3 linked regions of the Rattus norvegicus genome follow. The protein of the gene in region 3 binds, or shares a complex with, the protein of the main gene of each other region. Links are inferred from orthologs where the notes say so. Each region holds a gene or a part of one and is shown on either strand. Other genes may lie near its edges.

The links.
Region 1: the proteins of Kcnma1 (region 3) and Kcnmb4 are in contact, whole or in part, in a cryo-EM structure (PDB 6V22), measured with the Homo sapiens proteins. The link is inferred for Rattus norvegicus from reciprocal best matches to the Homo sapiens genes KCNMA1 and KCNMB4. Residues at the interface, in NP_001154824.1 of Homo sapiens: Phe98, Phe99, Leu102, Phe103, Leu106, Leu107, Arg109, Thr110, Tyr113, Leu114, Thr116, Val117, Asp238, Leu240, Trp241, Leu244, Pro327, Trp328, Asn330, Gln332, Leu367; in NP_055320.4 of Homo sapiens: Thr11, Glu12, Ala13, Glu14, Lys16, Ser17, Leu20, Leu24, Ile34, Phe35, Cys38, Trp39, His105, Thr164, His165, Val183, Leu186, Ile187, Leu190, Thr191, Ala194, Leu197, Ala198, Lys200, Ala201, Met204.
Region 2: the proteins of Kcnma1 (region 3) and Lrrc26 are in contact, whole or in part, in a cryo-EM structure (PDB 7YNZ), measured with the Homo sapiens proteins. The link is inferred for Rattus norvegicus from reciprocal best matches to the Homo sapiens genes KCNMA1 and LRRC26. Residues at the interface, in NP_001154824.1 of Homo sapiens: Pro78, Cys79, Asp80, Ser81, Arg82, Gln84, Trp88, Ala92, Ser93, Val96, Thr97, Glu155, Trp158, Met159, Ser161, Val162, Trp165, Cys206, Leu226, Leu227, Phe229, Gly230, Leu231, Phe233, Ile234, Asp251, Phe252, Pro256, Phe259, Val260; in NP_001013675.1 of Homo sapiens: Gly204, Cys205, Gly206, Cys207, Ala208, Arg236, Leu237, Ala249, Phe250, His252, Cys253, Ala254, Gln255, Leu257, Arg260, Asp261, Leu262, Val264, Val265, Tyr266, Leu268, Gly269, Pro270, Ser272, Phe273, Ser276, Leu277, Cys280, Leu281, Leu283.

The regions. Positions count from the first base shown.
Region 1 is NC_086025.1:53,977,569-53,981,217, forward strand, and holds part of Kcnmb4 (calcium-activated potassium channel subunit beta-4), read right to left. Parts: intron 3,128-3,649; coding exon 3,000-3,127; intron 1-2,999. UniProt on the Homo sapiens protein: Regulatory subunit of the calcium activated potassium KCNMA1 (maxiK) channel. Modulates the calcium sensitivity and gating kinetics of KCNMA1, thereby contributing to KCNMA1 channel diversity.
Region 2 is NC_086021.1:28,498,975-28,502,440, reverse strand, and holds Lrrc26 (leucine-rich repeat-containing protein 26 precursor), read right to left. Parts: upstream 1,925-3,466; 5' UTR 1,801-1,924; coding exon 1,116-1,800; intron 1,040-1,115; coding exon 720-1,039; 3' UTR 598-719; downstream 1-597. Other genes in the region: Tmem210 (transmembrane protein 210 precursor), read right to left, coding at 2,684-2,873, 3,031-3,060, 3,292-3,427. UniProt on the Homo sapiens protein: Auxiliary protein of the large-conductance, voltage and calcium-activated potassium channel (BK alpha). Required for the conversion of BK alpha channels from a high-voltage to a low-voltage activated channel type in non-excitable cells.
Region 3 is NC_086033.1:967,414-971,062, reverse strand, and holds part of Kcnma1 (calcium-activated potassium channel subunit alpha-1), read right to left. Parts: intron 1,688-3,649; coding exon 1,463-1,687; intron 1-1,462. UniProt on the Homo sapiens protein: Potassium channel activated by both membrane depolarization or increase in cytosolic Ca(2+) that mediates export of K(+). It is also activated by the concentration of cytosolic Mg(2+).

The sequences.
Region 1 (3,649 bases), on a different chromosome or scaffold from region 3:
TTCCTGGAAATCAGACCAACTGATTTTTTTTAATGACTGGCTATACGCCCTGGGTCAACTACATAACTCTTTTTTTTTCTTTTTTTGGAGCTGGGGGCCGAACCCAGGGCCTTGTGCTTGCTAGGCAAGCGCTCTACCACTGAGCTAAATCCCCAACCCCAGCTACATAACTCTTTAAGCCTCAGTTTCCTCCCTGTGAGCTGAATGCAATTACTGCTTACAGCCACTATAGACTGTGTCTTCGGGCCAGTATTCTCCTTCCTGCCCGCCTTTCACTCACCCTCTATTCAACACTCAACACGGCAAAGGACACTGGAAAACTCGGTTACTTCCCCACTACGAAACTCTACTTATATCAGTCTTCGGTTAAGAATAAAATTTAAAAAGGCTTCGCCTGACCACTTATTGCTTGTGTTACAAAAAACGATGTCTTTAGCGTGATGTTAACAACCCTGTAGAACTCTAACCCCAAGGCTACCAATCAACTGTCTTACAAACGAACACACCTAAGACGCCCTGTTCTCGAGCCTTGGCTGTTGGAGTGCAGCCTCCCCATTTCAAGGTCTTGCCCTTTTGTATCTCCAGCCGATGACATCATACTTGACTGCATAGCACCTGTTTCCATCAATGAATGCTCATCCTGTGGCAGCAGAGAAATTGCAGGGACTGGGCTAGGCACCAAGGTATGCTCTTGAACAAGCATACAGTTGGGCTAGGGAGGTGGGCACACAGCGTGTAGCAAGAGAAAGATGTATGTGGCTGATGTTTGTTGAAATGCTGCTGCCTGGGCTGACCATTGGGGAGTCTCACATAATTAGCCAATGACGCTTATTGTTATTATTATTTTCAAGCTTTTTAAAAACGATTTATTTATTCTATGTAAGTACACGGTAACTGTCTTCAGACACACCAGAGAGGGCATTGGATCCCATTACAGATGGTTGTGAATCACCACATGGTTGCTGGGAATTGAACTCAGGACCTTGGTAAGAGCAGTCAGTGCTCTTAACTAGTGAACCATCTCTCCAGCCTTATTGTCAAGCTTCTTTTTTTACGTATATGAGTGTTTTGCTTGTGTGTGTATCTGCACCACCTGTGTGCCTGCTGCCCCAGAGGCCAGAAGAGAGTGTCAGATCCCTTGGAAGTTGAATTACAGGTGATTGTGAGATGAACTGCCACGTGGGTGCTGGGAATCGAGCCTCTGTCCTCTGAAAGAGCAGCCAGTGCTCTTATCCGCTGAGCCACCTCTCCAGCCCCACTGATGCCGTGTAAAAAGCTCCTTTTGTCTCTTCTGTGTCATCGACCATCTTGGATCTGCCCTTCCCCTCACGTCACTTAAGTGACACTGCCTACTGTGCCTCATGGGTATCTTCCAGGTAGTCCTTCCTGTGATTTGTTTAGGGCTAGAGAAGGAACTGATCGTGTGAAATTTGCTAGTATCCAGAACGGCACATTTTGCAGGCGGATACTCCTGTGTCGGCAACACGCAGAACTGTGGGAAGCTCTGTCAACACACTATGAACGCTGCCGGCTTTGTCGCTTGCCTAGACCGGTAGAACATGTCAGAGGTGATGCCTCTCCTAAGTCTAGAGCTGAGGTCTTCTTTCCGTGAGCAAAGCTGCCTTGCTGTAAGGAAGATACTCTAGCTTTCCGAACGCCGAGGTCCCTGTTCTGGAGAACACTGAAGAACTTTATCAATACTTAAAGGAGAGGTGAGAACCTTTATCAAACACCGTATCCGTCTCGGACCACACACCTCTCTGCATTTGCAGCTAGCTGCACGCGAGTCCTGCCAACTCACAGAAGCATGAGAGACCCCGTCACTTCAGTAAACTGTGAGATTTCAGGTGCTTTACTGTGGGACAGCATGCACCTGACATAGAGACCATGCCTCGACAGGCCTGACTTTATTCAGAGAACTCTAAGTGACCGATTAGACTCCTGTGCTAGAGAGCTGGCCTGAGTAACTGCATGGAGGGTGGCTTCAAGTGGCACAGTGACAGGCATTATTAGACTATGACAGCTGAGAGAAAAAAATCCAGATCTGATCCAAGAGTCACACAGAGGGATGGCCACAGGATGCTGAAGGCAGAGAATAAAGAAGGAAACTAAGAGCCACTTAGACCGTTCTGGGCAAGAAGGACAAATGAATGACGGTACCATTCACTGAGAGAGATCGGGAGAGGTCAAAGTCACTGTGGAGCACCCAACAATAAATGCTGAAAATTAACTTGGTGAACCTACTCTAGGTGGGCAGGCAAGTGTTCTGTTCCATGGCCACCTTGCTATGGTAAGGACGGTGTAGCTTCTAAGGCACTCGAGGCTTTGATGGCGTGCACACTTACTGATGTTTTCCCAGTAATTTGTTGTTTATTCACTTTACATCCCCAATGTGGCCCCTTCCCTCCTCTCCTCCCAGTCCCACCCTTGCAAACCCTTCCCCCATTACCACCTCCCCTTCTCTGAGAAGGGGAAGCCCTCCCCCCACCCATACCATCCCACCCTGGTACATATTTGGATGTTTCGTCAGAATAGAAAAGACAAAAACACTGGTGAAGTCTGAATACTGGCAAATCTGCACACTGCTTAGTGTGTAAGTCTTACAGCACACTGACAGTGCACAATGTTCTTCAGCAAAGGTGCCGCCATTTGTAATATATCCACAGGTAAGTGTAGGGTACAGGTACTCCCTCTCCCCACCCTCCCACTCCCTCCCTCTTCCTTCCTTCTCTCCCTCCCTCTTTCCATCCCTCTGTCCTTCCCTCCTTCCCTCCTTCCTCCCATCCTCCCCACTCATTTTAGTCCCCTCATGTTCTGTCTATGGCTCCCATCTCATAGAGCAGGAAGTGGCCTTTTAATGCTGGAGATTATAGGCCACAAAGAACTTGAAGTTATCTCCCAGTGGCACGTTCCTCCAAGTGGGCACGAACTATGGTTTACTCATGCAATAAATCGCACAAACAACCAACATTAACATGCTCATACGGATACCGGTTTACCTTTGATGTTGATTAAAATAGCAAGTGAATGGCTGGGAACCGATCTCATCTTTCCAATACTGTTGCCAGTTCATGACACTTTCCGAGTTCTTCTGGTTTTCTCTCTTACAGGGCGGGATATAGGAGCACTGGCCAAACAGAACACAGAGAGGAAAGCTATGACTACACAGGATAGTCAAAGGGAGACTTTCTATTCCTCAAATGCTTTGCTTTATTATAGTTTGTGGTCTGGGACGGACGAGGAGGCGGCCATAGTCAGGGTTAATATGGGATACCCATCCCAGTGGTCACCAATGTGCTAGTGTCCCTACTATGCGTCGTGGTTTCCCCTGTCATATTCTGCCTACCATTCTGATATCAAGACAGGAAAAGGTTCTCGACAGCGTCCAAGACAGCCTTCTCATGAGCAGATCATCACAAAACCATCTGAAAGTGTCCGACCCATCTTGGGAATTGCCGACTTGCTGACTGTTCATGGGCCCCCATAGCCATTCCTTCTTCTACAGAGATGGGCATTTTACAGATGACAAATCTAGTTTTGACATAATCTCTAGCTACAACCAAATTGACACTGCCTAACTATATTTTAAAATTTCCAATTCGGAACAATGGCAACCAACAAACAACCCAATCCAGTCGCAAAACCATCT
Region 2 (3,466 bases), on a different chromosome or scaffold from region 3:
GCTCCGGCAGAGGCAGGGCCCTGAGGTCTCTGAGCAGTGGGGTGAGGGGCCTAAGTGGCCCCGGTCGGAGGAGTCTGGAGCAGAAATGGCAGCCCCATCCTTCCTCCAGCCACTACCCCAAGCTACAGTGGGGGCCTATGGCCCCAGCTTGCTAGGTCACCCCCGACCCTTCCTCCAGCGCCTGCTCTCTGCAACTTGATTTCCACCTCTCTCCTGCTGCACCACCCTCCCACGACATTTCCCCACCCCATTCACTGGGTTGTCTCTGACCTTTCCCAGGGCTAGCCTTCACTGCCCTAGTGGCAGTGCTTCAGGGGTGCTTTCTGGCTCCCAGACATCTAGGGCTCCAGACTCCAAGAGGGCTGAGCCTTCTCTTCTGTCCGCAGCCACAATAGGCTTCCTCAGACGCTGGCTCGTGATGAGTCCCGCACCTTGGGCACCAGGGAGCGCCATCTGCCTCCCAGTCCGGTGTCACTCACCCCACTACCTTGTACATGACCAGCTCTCCCAGTGTCCCAGTGTCTGCCCCAGGGACACCGGGCGCGCACAGCCACCCCTAATCCCGGTATTCAGTGGTGATGCCTAAAGGAATGTCAGAAAATTTCCGGGTTTTGTCTATTGTTGACGCCTACAGGGAATGTGAAGGGAGGATCGGGGATTTGGGGACAGTTTTCAAAGTGCGGGATGCTACAGGAGCGCTAGAAACAACAGCGGAACCCTTAGGCTTGGATAGCTGTTGTTGTAGGGCTCCCAACATCCTCCAGGGAGGCTGGGCCCTCGGGGTCTGGCTGTCTCCTTATTAAGTGGCGCACTGTGGTGCGGCGGCGGCGGCGCCGTGCACCACAAGCAGTGAGTACCGAGCCCAATGCCAGGCAGATGGCTAAACTGGCAAGGAAAGAGGCCGGCCCGAGAGCATAGACCACCGCCAGGTCTCGCGCAGCGAGTGACTGCGTGCACTGTTTGAAGGCGTTGTCCGGAAAGTCTGTCAGTAGGTTGAGCGTTTGAAGTTTTGGAGACACACAGAGCAGGGTCTCAGTTTCTGCGGGACACAGGAGCGGCGTCAGATGGCAGCAGTGGCAACAAACATCATCCGCCCTGTGCCCCAGATGGCTCACCTGAAGTGGGACGCGGGTGCTTACGCAGCCAGGTGCAAAGCGGGCGCAGCGCGCAGCTGCACGCCCAGGGGTTGCCATGCAAGCGCAACACGTCGAGGGCAGGCAAGCTATTCAGCAAACCCGCCTCGAGTGCCGATAGTGAATTGTCCTGCAGGCTGAGCACCCGCAGTAAAGGGAGCGGGCCCAGGATCGAGGGCTCCAGGAGTGCCAGCCGGTTACCCGCTAGGGAGAGGAAACTCAGCGCTCGCAGAGGCGTGAAGGTGCCAGGAGACAGAGTTTCCAGCTGGTTGGAGCTCAGGTCCAGCCGTTGCAACACTCCCAGACCCCAGAAAGCTCGCGCGTGCACCGACCGAAGCCGGTTCTCCCGCAGGACTAGGTATAGCAGTGCGCCTGCATCGGCGAAGGCACCTGGAGGTAGTGTGCTCACTCGATTGCGATCCAGCAGCAGTGAGCGTACTTGCCAGCTCAGGCCCGCCGGTACCGCGGGCAGCGCCAGCGCGGAGCAATTGGCCTTGCCTCCTGGTGAACATGAACATGCCTCGGGGCATACGGGGGCCACCGGGGATTTGGAAGGGTCAGTTCCAATGTGCTCCTGGGTCCAGACTCGTCTCCACGACAACAGCAGCAGCAGCAGCAGCAGCAGAGAGAGTTGCGGCGGAAGCCGCGAGAAAAAAGAACCCCTCATGGAGGCAGCTCGAGAACAGGAGGGGACCTTGATCCCTGTGTGGCTTCGGAGTTCAGGTGACCCAGAGCTTGTCCCTGCCTCACCTGCACAAGTATTAACTCTCCCGCCCTAGCAAAACAGTTTCTGTCCCACTGCTGGTTCCTCAACTTGGGCGGGGGCTAGGCACAGAGCCAATGCCCAGTACTGCCAACCACCTGTCCAGAGCTCCAGTCTTGGCTTGGCCTTGAGCCCGGTATAGAGCTGATGAGACCATCGGCCTCCCCACTGAGACCTAAAAAGCAGGATCAAAGCCACCAGTTCTGCATCATAGAATGCAGCATGCAGTGCCTTGCTCCATACCCCAGTCACAATTTCTATTCCTATTCGGCAAAAGGACCCCACAGATCCTAAAAGAATCCCGGTCTCTTGGCAGAGGATTGGTGAAAGTATAAACACATGATGGAGCCTAACCACAAGGGAAAGACCTGGAAGTGTAGGAAGGACGACACATCTAAGGCAAAAGAGGGAGTGTAGGAAAGATGTTGCAACCCTCTCCAGCTTGGAGCTCCTGAGGACAGTGTCAGCGGAAAGGGCACTGGCCTCAGTCTGGCCACTGCAGTTCCATTTTGGTTTGCCAGCTTACAGGGCCTATCTTGGGGGAATCTGGGAAGGTAGGAGGGTCCAGGATCAGTCATCTCTTTAAGATCAATAGTAGGCAAATGCAGGAAAGAGCTGAACTGGCCAGCTGGGCTAGGAGCTAGAAACCCCAAAGGTATGGCTCAGTAACCCAGGGTGGAGACAACCACCATGATTCATGCACAAACATTACCTCATGAGGGACCTGCAAGAAGGACAGCACATAATCACTAAATACTGTTTAATTCTCCAGCCTAGCTGCTCTCCACTACACTGGAGGTGGGGGGGGAGGGGGAGGGGGTGGAGGGGGCTGTAGAGGAGCAGTCATGGCCGTGAGGGTTTGGTTCTCCAAGGACTGCATCATGGATACCTCCAGATCAGGGTCCATGAGGTGGGACTCCACGTGCACCGTGTGCAGGTCTATTTGATCTTCCTGGACCCCATAGGGCTCCTCCAACCTGCATGATGGACATCAGCATGGTCCAACAAGGCCTTGGCCACCCAGGGGCGAACAGCCCATGAGGACGTTGCTCTCAATAAAGCTGTGAGCTGCACTTCAGGAGGGGGCGGAGAGGGGACACAGCTCACCTCTGAGACTTCCTCTGACACACTTACCTGTTTTCCGAGTGTCCAGGGCACGTGTCACTGAGGGGGACAAAGGCAGGTGTGATCTTTGGAGAAATGCTCATTCTTACGCCTGGAAGTCCCCTGCAACATCTTCCTACAACCCTCATACCCAACACGCACCTTGGAAAACACTATCCCCAGCCTCTCATGACATACCACCCTAGGAAGAGGCCCCTCAAAGCATGACTAACAGCCTGGGGCCAGAATTAAAGCCTCACTCCCACTGTGCCCAATCCAAAGCTCACGCACTCCTTGGCCCGAAAGACACCAAGCGCCACAACAACGAGGGCACAGAAGCAGCTGGCACTGATACCAGCCAGCACCACAATGAGGGCAATAAGGGCCTCACGGCTGAGACCGAGGCTGCATTCACAGTAGGTTCCAGCTGCAGAAACAAGGCCACAAGACCAGGGGCTAGTCACCT
Region 3 (3,649 bases):
AATGTGGATGGGGTCACACAGAAGGAAACACAGGCATATGCAAAAATATCAGAGGTCATGCCACAAGTCCTGCCTACATAAACATCCACCTGTGCACCTAGCAAATTAGTTCACTTTTTACAGAGATACCTTCAGAGTTAAAGGGGTCATGTGATATATCACACGTAAATAGTGATGACCACAGAAGGAGATAATCAAATTGATTGGTCATATTTCTGAATTTAGCAACAGATATACAGTATATGGATATGCTTCTTTAAAGAGTGAACTGTAACAAGTGACCATCTTTAACTGCAGGTATACATTAAAGCAGTCAGGGTTTGGTCCTGTATCCAAACCGGATCTGTCTAATGTTTTTTCTGCATTGAGGGACCTGTTGGACCAGGCATTATGGGAGATACATAGTGCACCCAAGGGTGCTATCTGTAAATAGCCCCTTATATATTCTTTAACACATTATACTGCTTGGCTCTTCTGGCTGCATTTCTGTTGCTCTACAAGCTGATAAAAAAGTAGGGAAAAACAGACCTCTTGATAGCTAAGTGGCTGCATACCCCTCAATTTTAGGTATGACTTGATAATAAAAATAGTTGGAGGATAGGCAATATTTTCCTGAATTTCTGGCATATATAAACCATATAAAACTTTGAAAAGAATTATTAGTCTTTAAGTCTGAAATTTTGTGGATAATATATTATAATTATAAAGTTGCTAGTCATTTGGCTTTTAAATTACCCATCCCTTATCTTCATACTAAATTGTGGAGTCCCAAATTGTCTTTTATAGATTGGTGTCCTAGCAATCTTTGTGATCAATAAGCACACACACACACGTGTGTGTGTGTGTGTGTGTGTGTGTGTGTGTGTGTGTGTGTGTGTGTTTACATATATACACAAACACACAAAGCCATGGAAAACATGTCTGGGTTTCTAGACAAAGGATGAATTCCCAGATTCCCCAGAGAGGAGGTATGAAATTCCATACAGTAGAGATAAACTTGCTCTTTATTTATTTATTTATTTGGTCAATATCAGATGGAAGATGGGACAGGTCTATGTTTCTCTAAGATTAACCGTGTCAAATTAAAATGCCAATAATTATATATATATATATATATTATACATGTATAATATATATATATATATATATCTCAAAATAGGGTGACATTCTAAATTTCACCCAGGAAAGAGAGTTTAGACAGTGGTACATTAATGCATGTAGAGGTAGCTCAACTTCACCCTTGACAAGGGGCTGCACTTGGCTGCAAATTCTTTTAATAAGGCCTCCCAGGCTTTTAGTTTCTTAGCAGAGTACAGGGGAAGGACTCCCACATCCTCAGGCCTGTAGCCACATAAAGGAGCAGACACATGATCAAAGCTTCAACAATTACAGCCACCTGGGACTTCCTCTTGTGAATATAAAGATGAAGAACAGGACATCAAATAGTGTGACCCTGACTTACAGGCAATATGGATACTTTGGGGAAGTTGTGCAGTGTTTCCCACTCCCGCTTGAGGTACTCGATGGAGCCCACAAACACAATGTGTTTGAGCTCATGATAGTGAAAATTGCTAGCACGAAGCGGCATCACCAGGTTCCGGAGGCCAATCAGGGCTGAGCTGACATCCCCAAAGATGCAGACTACAACATGACCACTCAGGACAGTCATGGCAGCTTCACTTCGAGTCTGTAACAGAAAGGGGTGCAAGAGTATAAGAAGAAGTGCTTATAATATTGGTATAAGGGGAGAAAGCATCACTTATGCAGAGAGGAAGGCTAACACTAGTTGCTGCTTACTGTGTACCACTGCTGTGATTGAGGTGTTGTTCAAAGAGTGTCCCCCAAGGGCCCATTGTGGTTAAAGTCTTTGTCTTCAGGGTGGCATTATTTTATGGTAGATCTTTGTTGAGTTGAAGCCTTGCTGAGGTCTTTAGATTATTTAAGGTGTGGGGCAGTTTATGTGCAACCACCTGGGAGTTTTCACATGATTCCTTGACTCCGTCCATGTCTTCCCCAAAGACAATCAGTACAAGAAGAGAAACACGGACACACCCATCTCCTTTTTCTCTGCTCATGTTTGATCTCCTGCTATAATCATCTACCACTTCAGCAAAGATCAGGCAATTGGGGTAGCCTAGCATTAGACTTCGAACTTGTTAAACTGTGAGCTACTGTTTTCTCTTTGTGAATTAGCTATCTCAGACATTTTTATTATAATAGCACAAAGGTACCCAATAAAGCTATTATTTGAACTATAGTAAAAACAAAATGTTTAATTTAATTCAGAATAATAGAAAAGAAATAATTCTTCAGCATCATATGTAAAATTGCAAAAGGTACCTCTTCTAATGGATAAAAGTATACTTGAGAAAGTGGAGAACTGGGTAAAAAGGTAAAACTCAGGTCACCATGTGGGCTGCTGTACACCACCAGGTTCTTTTATGAAGTCAAAAACTGGTTCAAAACTCTATGTTCAGCATTTTGGAGAACATATAGATCTTTATAGTAAGTTTAGTACATACAGCAAGCATACATACAAGCATATGTTTTCCCTTGTTGGTTCTATTTACCATTAAAGAATCTGTAAAATACCAGGAGGGCTTGCAGGACAGCTATTATTTTTTATTTTGCCACTATATACATGTTATATACTCATCTGTAATATGCACAGAAGTATTTACTTTATTTACATTATAAATTCCTGTAAGCATATATTCACACATTACTACCTTCTAGAACAATAGGGTGCACCATGTAGACTTGTGATGAGGAGACGGGGATAGGAATTTTTAGGAGAACAAAGACAATAAAAGGGGATGTTTGGGTATATTGGAAGAAAGTAAGTCTTAGCGTCCATTAAATAGGTGATAAACAATTTAATCCCAGCACTTAGGAGGCAGAGGCAGGTGGATCTCTGAGTTGGAGGTCAGCCTGACCTAAAGAGTGAGTTCCAGGGATTACACAGAGAAACCTAGTCTCAAATAAAAAAGGAAGGAAGGAAGAGATGATGAAATAATGAAAAAGAAAAAGAAAGTGAAAGGAAGAAAGAAAGGAGGGAGGGAAGGAAGAAGGAAGGAAGGAAGGAAGGAAGGAAGGAAGGAAGGAAGGAAGGAAGGAAGGAAGGGTAAAATGAGAGCCATTTAGGCCCTTTGGCTAAGATGATGATTAAATGCTCCTATTCTTTGGATGGTCTCAGCTGAAACTTGAGGTTCTCTCTTTAGATGTTTCAGTGGGGTAGCATACCCCTCACTGTCTCAGGAGATTGAATGTGATATCTGAAACCATAGGCTGGCTGCTGTGGTCTGCAGCTTCAATCTGATGATACAAGCCTACAGGCTTCTATATGACCACTGAGCTAAAACTGATTTTTAAAATTCACAATGACTAAAAGGTAAACCAATATTGGAAATGTCACTATGAATGATGATCATATAAAATTCACATTCCAATAAAGTTTTACTGGGACACAGCCAACTCATAATATCGAGGTATTTTCCATGGTTCCTTTCATGGAAAACAAGAGTTGTCGGTTGAGACAAAGATCACATGGCCCGTGAGACTTAAATCACTAATGCCTGCTTCTACAGAAAAAGCATACTGACCCATGTTCAGACTTTAGGGTTTCCTAAGTTATTTTTGGAAGGGTTTG